2 linked regions of the Macaca mulatta genome follow. The protein of the gene in region 1 interacts with the protein of each later gene in a biochemical or structural test. Links are inferred from orthologs where the notes say so. Each region holds a gene or a part of one and is shown in the gene's direction. Other genes may lie near its edges.

Region 1 (4,081 bases):
TATTTACTGCTCATTAAGTGTAAGTGGATCATCATAAAGGTCTCCATCCTTGTCTTCACATTGAGAAGGCTGAGGAAAAGTGGGAAGAGAAGGCAGTGGTTTTGCTGTCTCAGGGGTGACAGAGGTGGAAGAAAATCTGCTTATAAGTGGACTCATGTAGTTCAAATTTATGTTGTTTAAGGGTCAACTGTAATTGAACTGGAATTAAATTGAACTGGCTTTGAGTAAATCACCTTAATTTTTTGTTAATTCTCTTTCATTTACATAAATGTCTGAGTTTACATGGTAATTTGTGTGGCATCCTACTTATAAGCCTTGGAAAGGATTTTGGATTTTATATCATGAGAATGCATCAGTAAAGTGGAATTGTAAAAATACCTTAGATAATACTATTTATTAGAGTTGTAATCATAAAAGTGGCAACAACTACAACAAGTATGATTTAGTGAGCCCTTACTTTATTAGCTCATCTCATCTTAGTAGTTGAGATTGGAACTCAAGTTCCTGACTACAAAGCTATGCTCTTGACCTCTAGGTCATGTGGCCTCCCTAGCAAGAACTTGAAAGTTTCTTCTGAATGAACAAAATAGAAATCACTAAGTGTCCTAAATTTATTCAAATTATTTCACTTGCCAAGATGCACTTGCCAAAATACACAGAGAGAGACGTGCTCTGGCTTATGTTTTGATAGAAGTACTCTTGTTCTCCAGGATACTTCAGGGAAATAGGGGCAGAAACAAGGAGGTTAGTTGGGAGGCTAATTACGTTTATCCAGGTGAGAGTTGAGGAGTGGCTTGGACAAGGGTAGTTGAGGTAGAGATAGTGAGAAGTGATCTGCTTCTGGATATATTTCAAAGGTAGAGTCAACAGGGTCTGCTGATCAATTCACTGGTTGTGGAGTATAAGGGAAAAAGAGTGGAAGATGACCCAAGTGTTAGCATGAGCAACTGAGTAAATGGTGGTGGTATTTACTGAGATGGCAAAGATCGAGGAGGCAGTGAAATTTAGGGAAACAGTGTTAGATATGTTTCTCTGGAGATGCCTATGAAACATCCAAGTGGAAATGTTTAATATATCAACCTGGAACCCAGAGGAGTCAGGGCAGAAGGCACATATTTAGGAGGTATGTGAATGCTACTTTAAACTTGAGGCTAGAGGAAGGTGTAAATAAAGAGGACGTCTGAAGACTGAGTCCTCGGGCCTATTAACACATGGTGGAAGAGGTGTGTGGAGTGTGTCTTGGGAGCAGAGGAGAAGGAGCACCCAAGCATCTCTGGGGGACTTAGAGAAAGCTGCACAGAGGAGCAAGTGTTTGAGTTGAGACTTGAGCAATCACTAGGCTTATGGGAGTGCACTAGTGGGGAGAGAAAAGCAAATGCAAGCACAGGAGGTGTGGGAGAAACACGGGAGGTGTGGGAGAAGCTGAAATGTGACCCACTAAAAGGTAGTACATGGAATCTTGGAACTGCAGCTACTCAGACCCTCAATGTTTTTGATGTTTCACTTGAAATGAAAAACTAAACCAAACGACCATTTACAATAAGCTGACCTTTAAAAAAAAATTTCTTGCAGAAAAACCTTTTGTTGCTTTTGGAAGTGGCATGGAATCTCTGGTGGAAGCCACGGTGGGGGAGCGTGTCAGAATCCCTGTGAAGTACCTTGGTTACCCGCCCCCAGAAATAAAATGGTAACTACTAGAAATAAACACAAAGCATCATTTCATGTGAGAGCAAATCCTTCGACTGTACTAATTCCTGAGAATTCTTTTTCATAGGTATAAAAATGGAATACCCCTTGAGTCCAATCACACAGTTAAAGTGGGGCACGTACTGACGATCATGGAAGTGAGCGAAAGAGACACAGGAAATTACACTGTCATCCTTACCAATCCCATTTCAAAGGAGAAGCAGAGTCACGTGGTCTCTCTGGTTGTGTATGGTGAGTCCATTCAGTTTTCCTCTCTGCCCAAGATTTATTATGATACATTGTCTTCCTAATCAGCCAGGCCACCATTCCTCTGCCTCCAGCTGCTTCACTCACATCATGGCCGGGCCTATGTACAAAAGTCATCTGGGGTGGTGAAGCTGAAGTGAAATGTAGGACTGTGTGCTCTGGCCATGTTTGTTTAAGAGGCCATGTAAATGAGCTTTGTGGTGGTCAAATGCAAGATTAAAGTAGTGATACCCTCGATAGTTTAAATGTTGTGAAAAAATAATGCCCACAGGGATAGTTGTCAAGTTAAGTTATACTACAATGTTCCCCTCTCATGGAATTGCCCACCTGGCACACAGATGTGTAAGACCCTTCTCCTTAGATTTTGTGCAAAGCTTCTAGTTTGATATTATAGTTGATGTATCAGTGAGGTACAGGCAGATTCCTACTCTGAAGGCTTTTGAAGTTGGCATTGTTGGCTTGGTTGGGGGCTTTTTTTTTCCTTTTTGACAGGAGTTCAGGGTCTGATTTTGAGTCTGTAAAGGCAAAATAGTACGTTTTTGATTTAAAGATGATTTGAACTTTGTTTTCTGAAACTGAAAGGTACAAATAAGTGTTTGGAATGGAATGGTGAGAAGGGTGCCATGGTCAAGTGAGTGTGAGGTGCTAAGGTGATGTGTAGATGTGTAACAGGTTTCTTTATTACAGGGACTTCTCAGAACCTTTTATATACTAATGTATATTGGTATTCTCTAGGGGGAGAGACATAGAGTATTCAAGGTTTAACAAACCTATTTGACTGGAGCATCGTTTTTCCCCTGAGCAAATTCATTAATCTCTCACTCCAAACAGTTTGAGAAATGCTTCTCTGTTGTAATTCTTTGTTCCCCCTTCTGGTATGGCATATTAAAACTTCAGGATATTTTCCCATGGCATTAAGGTGCTTCCCTATGTGTCCTAATACTCTTCTGTAGGCTGCTGAACTTGGCGTTATTTTTTTTTTCAGGGAATATTTTAAAGATAGGTTGGGCATGGTGGTTCGCATTCGTAATCCCAGCACTTTGGGAGGCCGAGGCGGATGGATCACCTGAGGTCAGAAGTTTGAGATCAGCCTGGCCAACGTGATGAAATCCCGTCTCTACTAAAAATGCAAAAATTAGCCAGGCATGATGGTGGGCGCCTGTAATCCCAGCTACTTGGGAGGCTGAGGCAGGAGAATCACTTGAACCCAGGAGGTGGAGGTTGCAGTGAGCTGAGATTGTACTCCAGCCTGGGCGACAAGAGCAAAACTCCGTCTCAAAAAAAAAAAAAAAACAAGATAACAGGTTCCACAGAGGTTGTTCAGAAGCAGCATAGGTGTAGGGGACTGGGGAGAGGAGAAACTGGAAAGTGTATAAGTAGGATGGGAGGAGAAAATGAACGGGAAATAAAAACAAAACATGGACAGCAAATAGCCCATTTCATCAGTTCATGAAGCCACTAAATATTCTATTCACTTTAGCATATACTCTGCTATGTGAAATAAACATAAAAAAGAAGTCAAGTCTTGAAAGCATAACCTGAGGCTTTAAGTTGACAGTAGTAACGAAATAGTTTTGACTTTGGAGTCAAAAAAGAAAGAAAGGAAAAAGGGAGAGAAGAAAGAAGGAAGTGAGAGAAGGGAGAAGGAAGAAAGGGGAAGAGGGAAAGGGAGTGGAGAGGGAGGGAGGGAGGAAGAGGGAGAGGGAATGAAAGACTCAGATGGTGGTGGCAGTAATGCATTCTCTAAAGATTTATGCCTTCCTTTAACATGAGGTGGTTTACGTGTTTGGGTTCAGAAGTCAGAGTGTCTAGGTTTGTTCCAGGTTTTGCCGTTTGTTAACGGAGTGACCTTGGGCAAGTCATTTTTTTCTGTATTTCATTTTTTCTCGTGTATAAAGCTGAGGATAGTAATAGTGGTTGTGAGGATTAAGTGAATGAATTCATGCAAAGCACTTCAAACAATGCTTGGCACATAATAAATGTATTTACTGTGCTATTTCAGCTATTTTCTGTAGCCTTCCCCTGATCTCGTGAACTTGAGAGGACAGAGAGAACTATCTCTGTAATGCAGATGAGAGGCACAGGATTCCAACACTTGCATAAAGTCATTCAGCTTGTTAGTTTATTA
Region 2 (4,081 bases), on another chromosome or scaffold:
TCTCGGGCCCGAGGGCGTGGTAAGCTGGGCACAGGTGGGAGGGTCTGGGGGCATCCAGGGGCTTAGCTGGGCCCAGGTGGGAGGGTCTGGAGGCATCCAGGGGCTTAGCTGGGCCCAGGTGGGAGGGTCTGGAGGCATCCAGGGGCTTAGCTGGGCCCAGGTGGGAGGGTCTGGGGGCCGAGGGTGTGGTAAGCTGGGCCCAGGTGGGAGGGTCTCGGGGCATCCGGGGGCTTAGCTGGGCCCAGGTGGGAGGGTCTCGGGCCCGAGGGCGTGGTAAGCTGGGCCCAGGTGGGAGGGTCTGGGGGCATCCGGGGGCTTAGCTGGGCCCAGGTGGGAGGGTCTCGGGCCTGAGGGTGTGGTAAGCTGGGCACAGGTGGGAGGGTCTGGGGGCCGAGGGGGTGGCAAGCTGGGCACAGGTGGGAGGGTCTGGGGGCATCCGGGGGCTTAGCTGGGCCCAGGTGGGAGGGTCTCGGGCCTGAGGGTGTGGTAAGCTGGGCACAGGTGGGAGGGTCTTGGGGCCGAGGGGGTGGCAAGCTGGGCACAGGTGGGAGGGTCTGGGGGCATCCAGGGGCTTAGCTGGGCCCAGGTGGGAGGGTCTGAGGGCATCCAGGGGCTTAGCTGGGCCCAGGTGGGAGGGTCTGGGGGCATCCAGGGGCTTAGCTGGGCCCAGGTGGGAGGGTCTCGGGCCCGGGGGCATCCAGGGGCCATCCGTGTTTATGAAGCTTTTCCAGATTGTTGCAGATGTTGTGTTTGACCAGCTACCATAGAATTGCAAAGTATCTTCCAGTGTATTTTTGAGACAGAGTCTGGCTCTGTCACCCAGGCTTGTGTGTAGTGGCAGGATCATGGCTCTCTGCAGCCTCGAACTCCTGGGCTCAGGCGGTCCCCCTGGCTCAGCCTCCTGAGTAGCCGGGACTACAGGTGGGAGCCACCGTCCCCAGCTAAGTCTGTGTAGAGATGGGGCCTTGCTGTGTTGCCCAGGCTGGTCCCGAGCTACTGGCCTCACGTGATCCTCCTGACTTGTTTTCCCAATCGTAATCCCAATCGTACGATTTCATCCATCATAAGATGCCCCCCCCATATATCATGACGTACGCACCTTACAAATGGTGATGTATTTGAGGGATAAATATGGTATTTTCAGGTTCTAATTTATTTGAGGGTGTACAAAGCACTTCTCAATTTACAAGGAATTTTGGGATCAAGTTACTGAATTACTTCAATTCTTCCCTCCCTTTCTTTCTCTCTCTTTTTTTTTTTTTGATGGAGTCTCACACTGTTGCCCTGGCTGGAGTGTAGTGGCACAATCTCAGCTCATTGCAACCTCCGCCTCCAGGGTTCAAGCGATTCTCCCGCCTCAGCCTCCTGAGTAGCCGGGATTAAAGGCTCCCACCACCACACCTGGCTAATTTTTCGTATTTTTTTAGTAGAGACGGGGTTTCACGACGTTGGCCAGGCTGGTCTCGAACTCCTGACCTCGTGATCCGCCCGCCTCGGCCTCCCAAAGTGCTGGGATTACAGGCATGAGCCACCGCGCCTGGCCTAATTGCTTCAATGCTGAGAGACACTCTCCCCGCCCCAGTTTTGACGTCTCTGGAGTCTGGATTTTGTTTTTTTTTTTTTTTTTTTTTTTTGAGACGGAGTCTCGCTCTGTTGCCCAGGCTGGAGTGCAGTGGCGCGATCTCAGCTCACTGCAAGCTCTGCCTCCTGGGTTCACGCCATTCTCCTGCCTCAGCCTCCTGAGTAGCTGGGACTACAGGCGCCCGCCACCGCGCCCGGCTAATTTTTTGTATTTTTAGTAGAGACGGGGTTTCACCGTGGTCTCGATCTCCTGACCTTGTGATCCACCCGCCTCGGCCTCCCAAAGTGCTGGGATTACAGGCGTGAGCCACCGCGCCCGGCTGGATTTTGTTTTAAAACCATCGATTGCATACTTGAACTGCATCATTATTTAACAGCGAGGTTTTTCTCCTCTGTCTGCTCCTGGTACCTGAAATCGTGGTGCATCTTACAGTTGCTCTGGGCCAGTGGGATTTAGTAATCTCCAGCTTCTAAAGCGTTTTAGGGTTTACAAAGCATTTTCCGATTTACAAGGAGTTCTAGGGTTTATGAAGCATTTTGAGCGTCTGAGGGCTACACAGGTTATTTCTTAGGTGAGGAGGTGCTGGAGGGTTCGGAGGCCTCTCAGACTGCAGGAGGCATTTTCAGCCGTCCGGCCGAACCCTCAGAGTGGCTCTTGGGCTGGTGCGAGCCTGGTCTCCGCGTGAAGCACACTGTGGGGGGCAGGGGTGGCACTTGTGCACCCCAGCCTGGGACAAAGCTGGAGAGGGGCAGAGCTTGGGCGAGAGGCGCCTATTCTCCCAGTTCCCGAGCCCCCTCAGACTGTTTCCGGTCCCCCCGCCGCCGCCTAGCCTCTAGCCTGGTGGGTGATGCCTCTGCTCTTTCCCAGGCCAGATTCCCTCTGTTAAATGGATCCCTGGGGTCAGACTGGCAGCCCCTAGACCTGGGGAAGCTTCAGAACGTCTACCAGTACCTTGTCGAAAGGCAGATTCCCAGCTCCTATTCCCAGTGCCATGGAAGGAGATAATTTTGCCGCAGGCCTAGGAATGTGCATTTGCCCCTGTTCCCCACGTGAAATGTGCACAGGGCCCCCAGCCTCACCCACGAACTCAGAGCAGCCGGGGACACGTCACCCATGATCTCAGAGCAGCCGGGGACACGTCACCTCCTGGGTGCTGCTCGGTCCCAGGCCCCTCCCGGCGCCCGCTGGTGGCCGCCTCCCGGGTGCTGCCGGGTTTGCGGACACACGGCTCCAATCTCTCATGGGGTCACCCTTCAGCCCCCAACAGGACGCGTGGCCCCAGAACCCGGCGGTTTCAGAGCCCGTGCCCACGTGTGGTTCTGGGATTCTGAGGCCGATCCTGTGGCTGGCGTCCCAGAATTCCCTGGTCCGGACACTCATCCACGCAGGCACCCTAGGGGCTCCCCGACAGGACCCCAGATCGCCGATCTCTGACTCCACGGGTCCAGGCCGGCTCCCGGGAGCTGATACCGAGGTCTGTCCTGCAGGTGCGGACGAAGGACGTGCTGTTTGAGAGCATCAGCCACCTGATCGACCACCACCTGCAGAACGGGCAGCCCATCGTGGCCGCCGAGAGCGAGCTGCACCTGCGCGGCGTCGTCTCCCGGGAGCCCTGAGCCAGGTGTGTGGCTGCCGCCGTGGGCCGCCGGCCTCGTCCCCTTTACCCGATTCTTTTCTAATTTGAAATTTGAGACCCGGTTCACATGCCGTGCCTTTCCCTCTAGAGGGCACGACTCAGGGGTGTTCAGCATCCAAGCTGTGCAACCATCTCTGTCGAGTTCCAGAACATTCTATCAGCCCCGAAAGGTGCCCTGTCCCCACCAGCCATCGCTCCCTGTCCCCTCCCCAGCCCCAACCCCCATACATCCGCCTCCTGTCTCCGTGGATGGGCCTGTCCCGGACATTTTCTAGAAATGGGATCACACGGTGTGGCCTTCTGGGTCTGGCGTCTCTCACGGAGCGTGACGTCCTCAAGGTGCCTGGTGCTGTGGCCTGGGTCAGAGCTTGGCTCCTGTTCACGGCTGGGTAATGTCCCACTGTGTGACGGGGCCACATTGTGTTTGTTCATCCGCTGATGGACGTTTTGGCCACCGTGAGCCTTTGTGTACAGGTTGTATGTGGACACGCGTCACTGGCCGTGGTGGGCACGTGCCCCAGAGTGGCCCTGTGCAGCCATGATGGTAACTGTGCAGCTGTGATTGGCTGGGATGGATGTCACCTGGTCTTTATGGACCCCTGCTGCGTGCTGGGTGTCCAGGCCTCCTTCCCGGAGAGGACGGTGGGCTGGGACAGGCAGGGGCTGGTGTGTGAACCCAGGCAGTGAGAAGCCCACACCTCAGGCCGGGCCGCAGAGCCCTGGGCCTCTACTTTTGGTGCGGGGCTGGGGGGAACCCGTGGCGGGGCATCGACGGGGGAGGGACAGGCAGGTCTGGGTGATTTCAGGGTCTCTCCTCTGGGGTGAGGTCGGGGCAGGAGAGGGTGCAGCTGTGGGGCTGGAGG

The links.
Region 2: the proteins of KDR (region 1) and SHC2 form a complex in vitro, tested with the Homo sapiens proteins (2 studies listed by BioGRID). The link is inferred for Macaca mulatta from reciprocal best matches to the Homo sapiens genes KDR and SHC2.

The regions. Positions count from the first base shown.
Region 1 is NC_133410.1:78,388,979-78,393,059, forward strand, and holds part of KDR (vascular endothelial growth factor receptor 2), read left to right. Parts: intron 1-1,572; coding exon 1,573-1,687; intron 1,688-1,774; coding exon 1,775-1,938; intron 1,939-4,081. UniProt on the Homo sapiens protein: Tyrosine-protein kinase that acts as a cell-surface receptor for VEGFA, VEGFC and VEGFD. Plays an essential role in the regulation of angiogenesis, vascular development, vascular permeability, and embryonic hematopoiesis.
Region 2 is NC_133424.1:1,068,147-1,072,227, reverse strand, and holds part of SHC2 (SHC-transforming protein 2), read left to right. Parts: intron 1-3,069; coding exon 3,070-3,198; 3' UTR 3,199-3,203; intron 3,204-4,081. UniProt on the Homo sapiens protein: Signaling adapter that couples activated growth factor receptors to signaling pathway in neurons. Involved in the signal transduction pathways of neurotrophin-activated Trk receptors in cortical neurons.